2 linked regions of the Arabidopsis thaliana genome follow. The protein of the gene in region 1 interacts with the protein of each later gene in a pairwise test. Each region holds a gene or a part of one and is shown on either strand. Other genes may lie near its edges.

What was found.
Region 2: the proteins of AT4G17950 (region 1) and BAG4 interact in a two-hybrid assay, tested with the Arabidopsis thaliana proteins (one large-scale study listed by BioGRID).

What each region holds. Positions count from the first base shown.
Region 1 is NC_003075.7:9,966,220-9,971,224, forward strand, and holds AT4G17950 (AT hook motif DNA-binding family protein), read right to left. Parts: upstream 3,014-5,005; 5' UTR 2,789-3,013; coding exon 2,149-2,788; intron 2,042-2,148; coding exon 1,986-2,041; intron 1,909-1,985; coding exon 1,771-1,908; intron 1,645-1,770; coding exon 1,483-1,644; intron 1,400-1,482; coding exon 1,076-1,399; 3' UTR 560-1,075; downstream 1-559. Other genes in the region: AT4G17940 (Tetratricopeptide repeat (TPR)-like superfamily protein), read left to right, coding at 1-98, 174-346, 439-559; AT4G17960 (phospholipid hydroperoxide glutathione peroxidase), read left to right, coding at 4,935-5,005. UniProt on the Arabidopsis thaliana protein: Transcription factor that specifically binds AT-rich DNA sequences related to the nuclear matrix attachment regions (MARs).
Region 2 is NC_003074.8:19,206,020-19,210,252, reverse strand, and holds BAG4 (BCL-2-associated athanogene 4), read left to right. Parts: upstream 1-1,604; 5' UTR 1,605-2,074; coding exon 2,075-2,282; intron 2,283-2,457; coding exon 2,458-2,714; intron 2,715-2,791; coding exon 2,792-2,938; intron 2,939-3,026; coding exon 3,027-3,224; 3' UTR 3,225-3,485; downstream 3,486-4,233. Other genes in the region: G1 (transmembrane protein G1P-related 1), read left to right, coding at 1-360. UniProt on the Arabidopsis thaliana protein: Co-chaperone that regulates diverse cellular pathways, such as programmed cell death and stress responses.

The sequences.
Region 1 (5,005 bases):
AAGATAAGAGCAAGATCGGTGATTATTATCGAGAGATGTTGAGATCTAATCCTAATAATTCGCTTCTTCTGATGAATTACGGCAAGTTTTTGTATGAGGTTAGTGATTTTTAGAAGCTGAATTTGAGTTTTGGGAATTGGAGATTAGGTTTTGATTTGGGATTGAATCTTCAGGTGGAGAAAGATGCAGAGGGAGCTGAAGAGTACTATGGAAGAGCAATACTGGAGAATCCAGGAGATGGAGAAGCTTTATCCATGTATGGAAGATTGATATGGGAAACGAAGAGAGATGAGAAGAGAGCTCAAGGTTACTTTGATCAAGCTGTTAATGCTTCTCCTAATGATTGGTATAATTTGTATACTTTGATTACTTTTACTAATCCCAAATTAATTTTCTTTACTTTGAATCTAAAATGTTTGTGTTGTTGTAACTTTGTAGTATGGTTTTGGGATCATATGCACGTTTCATGTGGGAGGCAGAGGATGATGATGATGATGATGAAGAAGAAGAAGAAGAAGAATGGATGGCTGCATCACCACTCATGGTTTCTGCAGTTTAGAGACTAACACGACGAAGATGAAGAAGAAGTAATGGAGACTAAGATTATGTATCAAGTATCAACCTTTTTTTTGTCTATTTCACTGTCTTTTTACTAACTTTTGTTGTAATAACCTGAAGAGTAATGAAAACATGTATGTGAAAGAAAACGAATGTAACCTTATTATAAGAGAATAAAAGTGCTTTTGTATAGTTTAGAATTTCGTTGTTTAGAATCAGAATTAAAGTGGATAATTCGTTGAATATAGGAGAAAAAGAACAAGTCTTTATGATCATCACAATCAAAAGAAACTACTAAGAAACAAACTAAACAAGATTGAATTTGAAACCTACTTAACATGTCTCTCTCTCTCTATTTATCTAAAACCAAAGCTAAATTTAAGAGAAATAGTAAAGGAGAAGAAGATGAGAGAGTAAGAGAGCTCAATCTACTTTATAGAGATAAATCTGATGGAGAGATGTGTCAAAAGGAACAGAGAAGCAAACCCGGTCAAATCTTGACCCATGAACCATCTGTTTATTGAGGACTGTTGCCAGGCCAGAGATTCTGGTACATCTGCATAGGAATTTGGTGAAGCGGTTGAGGTGTAGAGTTTCCAAATATCCCATGATTGTTGCTGTTGTTGTTGTTGCTTCTACGGTGCAACGGAGAATTACTTTCGTTTTCCTCTGATGACTCGCTCGAGTGTTGTTGTCCTTGAGATCGAGGGCTTCCCGGTCCACCAACACCACCAAAGCTCAACATATTGGCTGGTGCTGAAGCTGGCTCCGGAGTATTCTGAGCACGCCCCGCACTTTGTTTCTGCTTCCTTCCATCTGGTACAAAGCTTCCCACAATGACCTATATAAAAACCCCAATCAAAGTCAGTATCTTGAATACTTTCTGATCTTAACTCAAGTGTAAAGGTTAAGAATTTGACAAACCTGGACTTGTGATCCAGCTACTAGCATTCCATCAACACATCCACCCACAATCCGGCCTTCGTGTCCAGCCAGCGACACACTCAAGTTACCAGTTTTGGTCACAGTACCATTACTCTCAGAATTCAAGAAAGAACCTGACAGAGAAATGATTTCAAATCGGCCCTGAAACAACAACACATCCAATACAGCTCAATACAAGATTTAAATTCCAGCTCCATTCGATAACAACAGAGCTCAAAATGAGGCCAAGAAGCAAGCAATGCACAAAGCACATGAGTAATTTTATACCTCATACTTAACAGTTCCAGTAGGATTGCTATTGTTAGCTTGACGAAGCATCACATTAGTTACAGCTCCTGTAGCTGAGAGAATACAGATTGCGCGTGGCCCTTGGTTCGTAAACGCCAATATCTTCGTAGCTATGTCCTGAATACAATGAAAGATCATAACTTTAACCAAAGAAACAAATTGAAGATTAAAGATTTGCTACATCAACACATTACCTCTCCTGTTTTAACCTCAATGACATGAGGCGTGAACCCAACTCCTCCTGTTCCTCCTGCTCACACACACACACAGAGGACAAAACCCATTAAGTAAAATTGTAAAACAGTGAATTTGATTTGATAAGAGAAAGAGAGAGAGAGATAGAGATAGATCCTGTACCTAAAGCATCGAGCTGCTTCTTACCGGAGCCAGGAGGACGTCCTCTGTTCCGTTTAGCAGGTGGATCGGAAGAGTTAGCATTAGCTCCGGCGCTATCACCACCACCACCTCCTTCATTTCCACCACCGTAAGAATTAGAAGCAGAAGGAAGAGGCGAAGTAGGAGCCAAACCAAGAGCAATGTTACTACCACCACCACCACCACCACCACCATCAGCAGCATACTTCCTAGGTCTACCTCGTTTCTTCTTAACCTGTTGATGGTCGATCCCAAATCTCATCGAATGTTGTTGAGTGGCGGCAACAGAAGAAGGCGATCCATCAAATCCAAGAGATTCAAGAGTCTTCTGATCTATCTGTTGCTGAGGCTGAGGATGATGATACTGATGTTGTTGAGGCTGATGCGGTGACATAGAACCACCAAAAGGTAATCTTTGATGCATAGCTTGAGATGTGGAGGTGTTGTGACCCATTAAAACAGCGGCGGCGGCGTTAGGGTTTCGATTGTAGGAATTGTGGTGACTCATTAACATCCCTGGCGGTGGTTGTTGCTGTTGTTGTAGATGTTGCTGTTGTTGCTGCTGCTGCTGTTGTTGTTGTTGTTGTTGCTGTTGTTGGTGGTGGATCTCTCTGGAATCCATTGGAGGTGGAGAAAAGTATGAATCTTTGTGAATTTAGGGTAATTTTCTTGGAGACCCACTTTTCTGTTTTACGAATGCCGAGAAAATAGACGAGAAAGTGCAGGTTTTTGAGTTTTAAGCGAAAGCGTGTGAGCTAGCTAACAACTCTCTCTCTCTCTCTCTCTCTCTCTCTCTCTCTCTCTCTCTCTCTCTCTCTCTCTCTCTCTCTCTCTCTCTCTCTTTCTTGAGTTCTTTCATCAGACGAGGGACGATCTAGTTAGTGTCTAATTTTTTTATTTTTTTTTTGTGTTTTTGAAGATTTTTAATTATATAAATAAAAGAAGAAATTGAGGAAACAAATCTTTGGTTTATGGTTTTCAGTTTTCAGGAGATTAAGTTTTGTTTTTGTTTTCTTTAATATTGATGAATTTAACTTTTAAAATATAATATAATTAGGGTTTTGTTAAAATGTGAATGAAATAAAGAGTTTGTGTCTTTAATAATGATGATGTTCAGTCCAGTTATAGTTTCTAGTTGTAATCTAATGTAAATGGTTTGGTGTTCTCTCCTTTAACACTAGTTCTGTTTTAATAAATGGTTTTCAATTTTTTTGGGGTTTTTCACATAATTTCCATTGTTGCATTGAATGAACCAAGTTTGGTTATTGGAAGAGAAATCAAACCGGAATGAGACATTGAAGTTTAATAAAATATTAGGAGGTTATTTTAGTTCAGTGTCTTTTTAGAAAATCTCTAAAATGCAAACAAATGCACAAGAATTAATAAGAGAATAATATATCAAATAAATTATTATGTAAACTAAAGATTTTGGTTTGACTGTGTTTGGGAAATGCAAAAATAATAAAGATGGGGTTTGTACTTTGATGTGTCAGATTTTTTTTCTTAAGTATATCCTTCAGATCTTAAAAACAATCACTAGTTTGAAAATGACAGCAGCTTATTTTGACTATTTTGTCCTTCTATTGCCTATCTTTTTAAGAAAAATCTATCATTCAGAATTCAGAATACTGTTGTATATACTCTCTATAGATTCCAAATTAATTGACAAACTCAAGTTACTAATTTTTAATGCTACTATATCACATAGATAAAGACCCACTGGAGTTGGAATAGAATGTAGCAACCAAATATTTAATATATGCAACTTTAGAATCCAAAACAAAAATCTGTGTAAAGGAACAAAAGTGTATATTTTAATTGGTTATGTACTCTTCTCCCATACTTGTTCACGAGAAAATGGAATTTACCGATTAGATTTTTTTTTGTATCCCGGTTTAATCCAAAGGATAAAATATGTGATGTGTATCCGGTTTTGTTGGAGATGATAATCAATGTAAAAGACTAAAAGTACTAAACTTTTTATGTCTAGGTAGCGACTAAAGTGATTGACTTTAGTAGACCAACAAGCAATAAAAAGCAAATGTTATCAACAGTTTACGCCATGCGCGTACCTTAAGAAACTGGACACGTAAAACCAGATGCTGTGAAAAATTAGTACCTGAACATAGAAATATTTCGAGACAGATAACGAATGTTTTTCTTTTAAAGTACTTTAGAGTTTATCATATGATTCAAGTCACCTGAAAGATCCATAATCTCTATTATCACTTGGTGCTGCAAGGCTGCAACACATAAGAGTGTTGCATTGAAAAATGAAAACACTTACGGAAACTAATGAACTTGGAAGCAATTGACCAAAAGTATAATTATTGGTCAGGTGGGCTTTTATTAATGGGCTTAACTCTCACTAATGTAGCCCACTAGTGAAATGTAATTGTGGTAAATAAGAATTTACCGCTCGTTAATGGAGAAGAAGAAGGGTTAGATTTGGAAAGTAGAGAAATGAGCAAAAGCAAGAAGAAGAAGATTCTCTCTTTGATCCACTTTCCTCCATTGTCGTCGCAGAGAGAGTGGAGATATTCGGATTCAGTTTATGAAGTAGAACTTGGGTCTAAAGGATTCAGTTTCATAAACCCTAATAAGTATCTGTTGTCTGATTAACTTATAGGAAAGATCATTTTTTTTTTTGTTTCTCTTAGTGACGGATTGGTCTAGAAACTAGTATGCAAATTGTAGCTTCTGGGAGAGAAAGTTTGTATTTTTAGTAACGGATTTATTTTGGGAGAGTTTGATTTGTAAGGATTAGGATGGGTTTTTTCAAGAAATTAGCTGGTGTGTTTGGATTTGGCCAGGAAGTATTGAAAAATGAGGAAGATGA
Region 2 (4,233 bases), on another chromosome or scaffold:
CTAGAAGGTAGCGTTGCGCAGCCGGCGGCGTCACAGGAGATGGAGTTTGTGATCACTGATCTGATCACTGATATTTTGGTTAGGTATAAAGGATCTTTGCCGGATCTGTTTAGGGAAGGTCATTCAGTTGTGGTTGAAGGATTCATTAAGCCGTATACAGATGAAGTAAGGAAGGAAGTTTCTACAAAACCTATTTCGAAGAAAGCTAGGAACCTCGATTGTTTCTTCTCGGCGACTGAAGTTTTGGCTAAGCATGATGAGAAGTATATGCCACAGGAAGTTGCGGCGGCGATTGAGAAGAATAAGAAAATTATTGAAGCGGCGGCGACTGAACAAGCTGCTGAAGTTGCGGCTTCTTAGATTGGTATAAACTTCATTCTTTTTAAGTTAATCAAAATTTTCCCCAAGTTCGAGCTTTTGGTGAGTATTGTTCATCTTATAAGGTTATATTTGATTATAGTTTCTGGAAAAGAGTAGGAAGATTGGAATGTTATATTCCTGGAAAACAGAGATTTGATTTTTGAGTCTATTTGAGAATTAAGTGGAGAAATGTGATACACTATACAATAGCTTTGTTTGATTCCACAAAGCTATAAGCTAATCTACTTTCTTGTTGTGTTGATCAAATAAAGAACACTTTGACGAGGGATCAAATATGCTGCTTGATTCATTGTGTTGTTGGATGTTTTGTTTGTTGTTGATGTGCACACAGATTAGAGAAGCTATGTTTTGTTGCTGCACACAGATTAGATTGATCTAGTGAATCTTATTAGCTTCATCAGGTCGTGGGTATATAATTGTAAACGTATCACCAAAGTTGTAGCTTGTGTGACCTTATTCTTATCATGACTAGGTACTATAGCCAAAAGAGTTGAACATACAGGTCTTTCAGAGCTTCCTCTTAGTTGTTCTGGAGGTTCCAAGCTCTTTCTTTGTTGTTTTATAAATATGGGTTGAGCTTGTTGACAATCTTGAAGATGGTCATGCATTCCTTTTATGCATCTTATGTTTCAACTAGGCAATTCTGGCCCTGGAGATTTCAAGTTTGTACTTTCTGAGTCGATTAGGTGCCTAGTTTTTGCCTCTAGAATCATGGCATTGGCTTCTGTTTTGGCACTTCTCTTAGGCTTGTTGGTTGATAACCAACTACTAGTCTACTAATGTAGCTGTAGTTTGAAGTGTTCCGCAGTTACGCTATTGCTTTTGCTTTTTTTAAGTGCATCTTTATATATGCATCAGTCTCTCATTGTATAGCAAATTTATCGTGGGTGGTATATGATTCAGTCAACAAAAACTGACTATCAAGTATGGAACGAGTGGTATATGATTGAGTCATCAAAAATACTGACTATCAAGTATGGAACAAGAGCATTACGATATTTGTCACTACTATATTCGATTGCTATTGTGTGCTTGGTCCATTTTGAATATGGGACAAATCACCATTACTATACTTGCTGCCCTATACTAACTAGATTATTCCATATTCCTCGTAGATAGTTTTTGTTTTTTGGTTCAGAGAAAGTTCAGATTTTAGGCCTATAAGTTCTTTTGGTTGGGGACCATATCAAGTTAAATCTCTCACTATATGCATTGTGGCGGTTCGGCCGACCTGTCTAAAATTGGGCTTGTTCAAATCCTGCCTCAAATCCTGCCAAAGCGTGAGTTATATACATATACATTGACACTGAATCATTCCATCCAGGGCCGGTTGGCTGGATCCAAAATCAGTCGTTACCTATTTTTGGCAATCTTAAACTTATTGATTTTTTTTTTCTGACGTTTCACAAATCATCATCATATGTGAAAAACCAAAACATCTATATTAAGAAGAAAAAAAATATTGTTACAATTTCTGAAAATATTTGGTTCATTTAGTCCTTAAAAATTCTAATTACCAAAAAAGACAAATATATAACAATTGAAACACATGTGTGTTATCAGGAGAATTTGTATGTTTTGAGGAGGTGTGCATCATCCGTCTATCAATACCCTGACAAGGAAAACCCTAATTTTTTTTGGCCCAAAGGGTTTTATACTTTAATCTCATACTCCGATTCATTGTCGAAAAACGATGATGCATAATTCAACCGAAGAATCGGAATGGGAGGTGAGACCTGGTGGTATGCTCGTCCAACGAAGAGACGACGCCGCTTCCTCCGACCACAAACCTCTCCAGGATCCCGACTCTGCTTCCGCCGCTTTTGCTCAAACCATCAGAATCACTGTTTCTCATGGCTCATCGCACCACGATCTTCATATTTCTGCTCACGCCACTTTCGGTAACAAAACTCTCAGCTCCGTTTCTGATCCATCGCCTGAAAATTCCAAATAATCGAAGCCTGAGAGAATTTAGCGTGATTCATTATGAAATTTTTCTTGCTCTATTTAGTTTTTGTTGAAGTTGTGTTAGTGTAGTTGAAGATTGATATGTTTAAGCTCGAATGTGATAACTAGGGGATGTGAAGAAAGCTCTTGTTCAGAAAACTGGATTGGAAGCTAGTGAATTGAAGATCTTGTTCAGAGGAGTTGAGAGAGATGATGCTGAACAATTGCAAGCTGCTGGTGTTAAGGATGCGTCTAAGCTTGTTGTTGTTGTTGAGGATACGAATAAGAGAGTGGAACAACAGCCTCCTGTGGTAACTAAAGAGATGGAAAAAGCTATTGCTGCTGTTAACGCGGTTACAGGAGAGGTCGATAAGCTCTCGGATAGAGTGAGTTTTTATAAGCCTGTATTTCTTTTGGAGATGACGGAAGGATTGTGCTTAAGCTAGTTTTTTTTGGTAATTAGGTTGTTGCTTTAGAAGTTGCTGTGAATGGAGGGACGCAAGTTGCGGTGCGGGAGTTTGACATGGCTGCAGAGCTTCTTATGAGGCAGCTGCTCAAATTGGATGGCATTGAGGCTGAAGGGGACGCTAAAGTACAGCGTAAGGCTGAGGTTAGTTTTCTTGCTTTGTTAAGCATGTTTACACGGTAAGAGTGTTAATAGAGTTGGAAGATATATGAGTTGTGGTTTGTGTTGGCAGGTACGTAGAATCCAAAACTTGCAGGAGGCTGTGGATAAGTTGAAGGCAAGATGTTCAAATCCGTTTGTGGATCAGAGCAAAGCTGCAGCTGTAAGCACTGAGTGGGAATCGTTCGGAAACGGTGTCGGAAGCTTGAACCCTCCTCCGCCAGCTTCGCCTTCGGCCAATGTAACTCAAGATTGGGAGAAATTTGACTGACATTTTAGTACTGCTACGTTGCCTTGGAAAAAAATGCTTATTGAAACTGTTTATCTTTTTGATTATTGTTAAATATTGGAAAACGACCATCGTCTTTATCTTCTAATGTATAGATATATTATATATAGTATCGGAAATCTACATCTCTGTACGTTATGTTGGAATAATCCCTGGGAATAGTCTTTGATGTCTCTCAGTCTCTGTCGTGCCTAATTGGCTTATGTCGTAGTACTAAAGATTATGGCTACGAGTTTTGGAGACACTTTTGCATATGTGTTTCCATGTTCTAGTAATCGGGAGCTCAAGTTCAATTTGATGATAGCGATAGTGTTGCAAAAATGATTTATGTTTACTGTTACATGTTTCAATCCTTATAAACTACAGCTTCGAGGGAAGATTGCCTCAAACTGAGAAGTACACACTACAAGCCAAATAATGCAAAGTTAAGGTTAGTTTCATTTCAAGAGTACGATCCGTGCTTTTTGGATAAAAAATACATTCTTACCCAAAAACTAGAAGACATTCTTAGCTGTCTCACCCACATGACCATACGTTTCATTCTCAATTATATGTTCCATGGAATTATATTTAATCTATATAATAACATTCTTGTGCCATCACATAAACTAATAATCCACTCAGCAGTGATTAGACTTAATCATAGCTTAGCAGAGATTTAATTACGATTACTTCCTTAACCATTTATTTATATAACAAAAAAAATTAACAGTAAAACGTGTTGACATGACTTCGCCGTTCAATGTGGGTGGCAAAAGCCATTTGCCGGCTATCTAACAGCACATATTATTATTTATTATTTTCTCGACCATTTATTATGTTCTGTCAGATAATATTTTAATTTTAATTTATATTCTATTCTGTGATGATTTCTTACGCTTTGTATCGGTAAACATAATTGGATTTGCGAGAAAATATCAGCAATGTATAATTGTGTCACGCACAACCGGTATGTGGCAGCCTCAACATTTGAAAGGTACTTAATACTTAT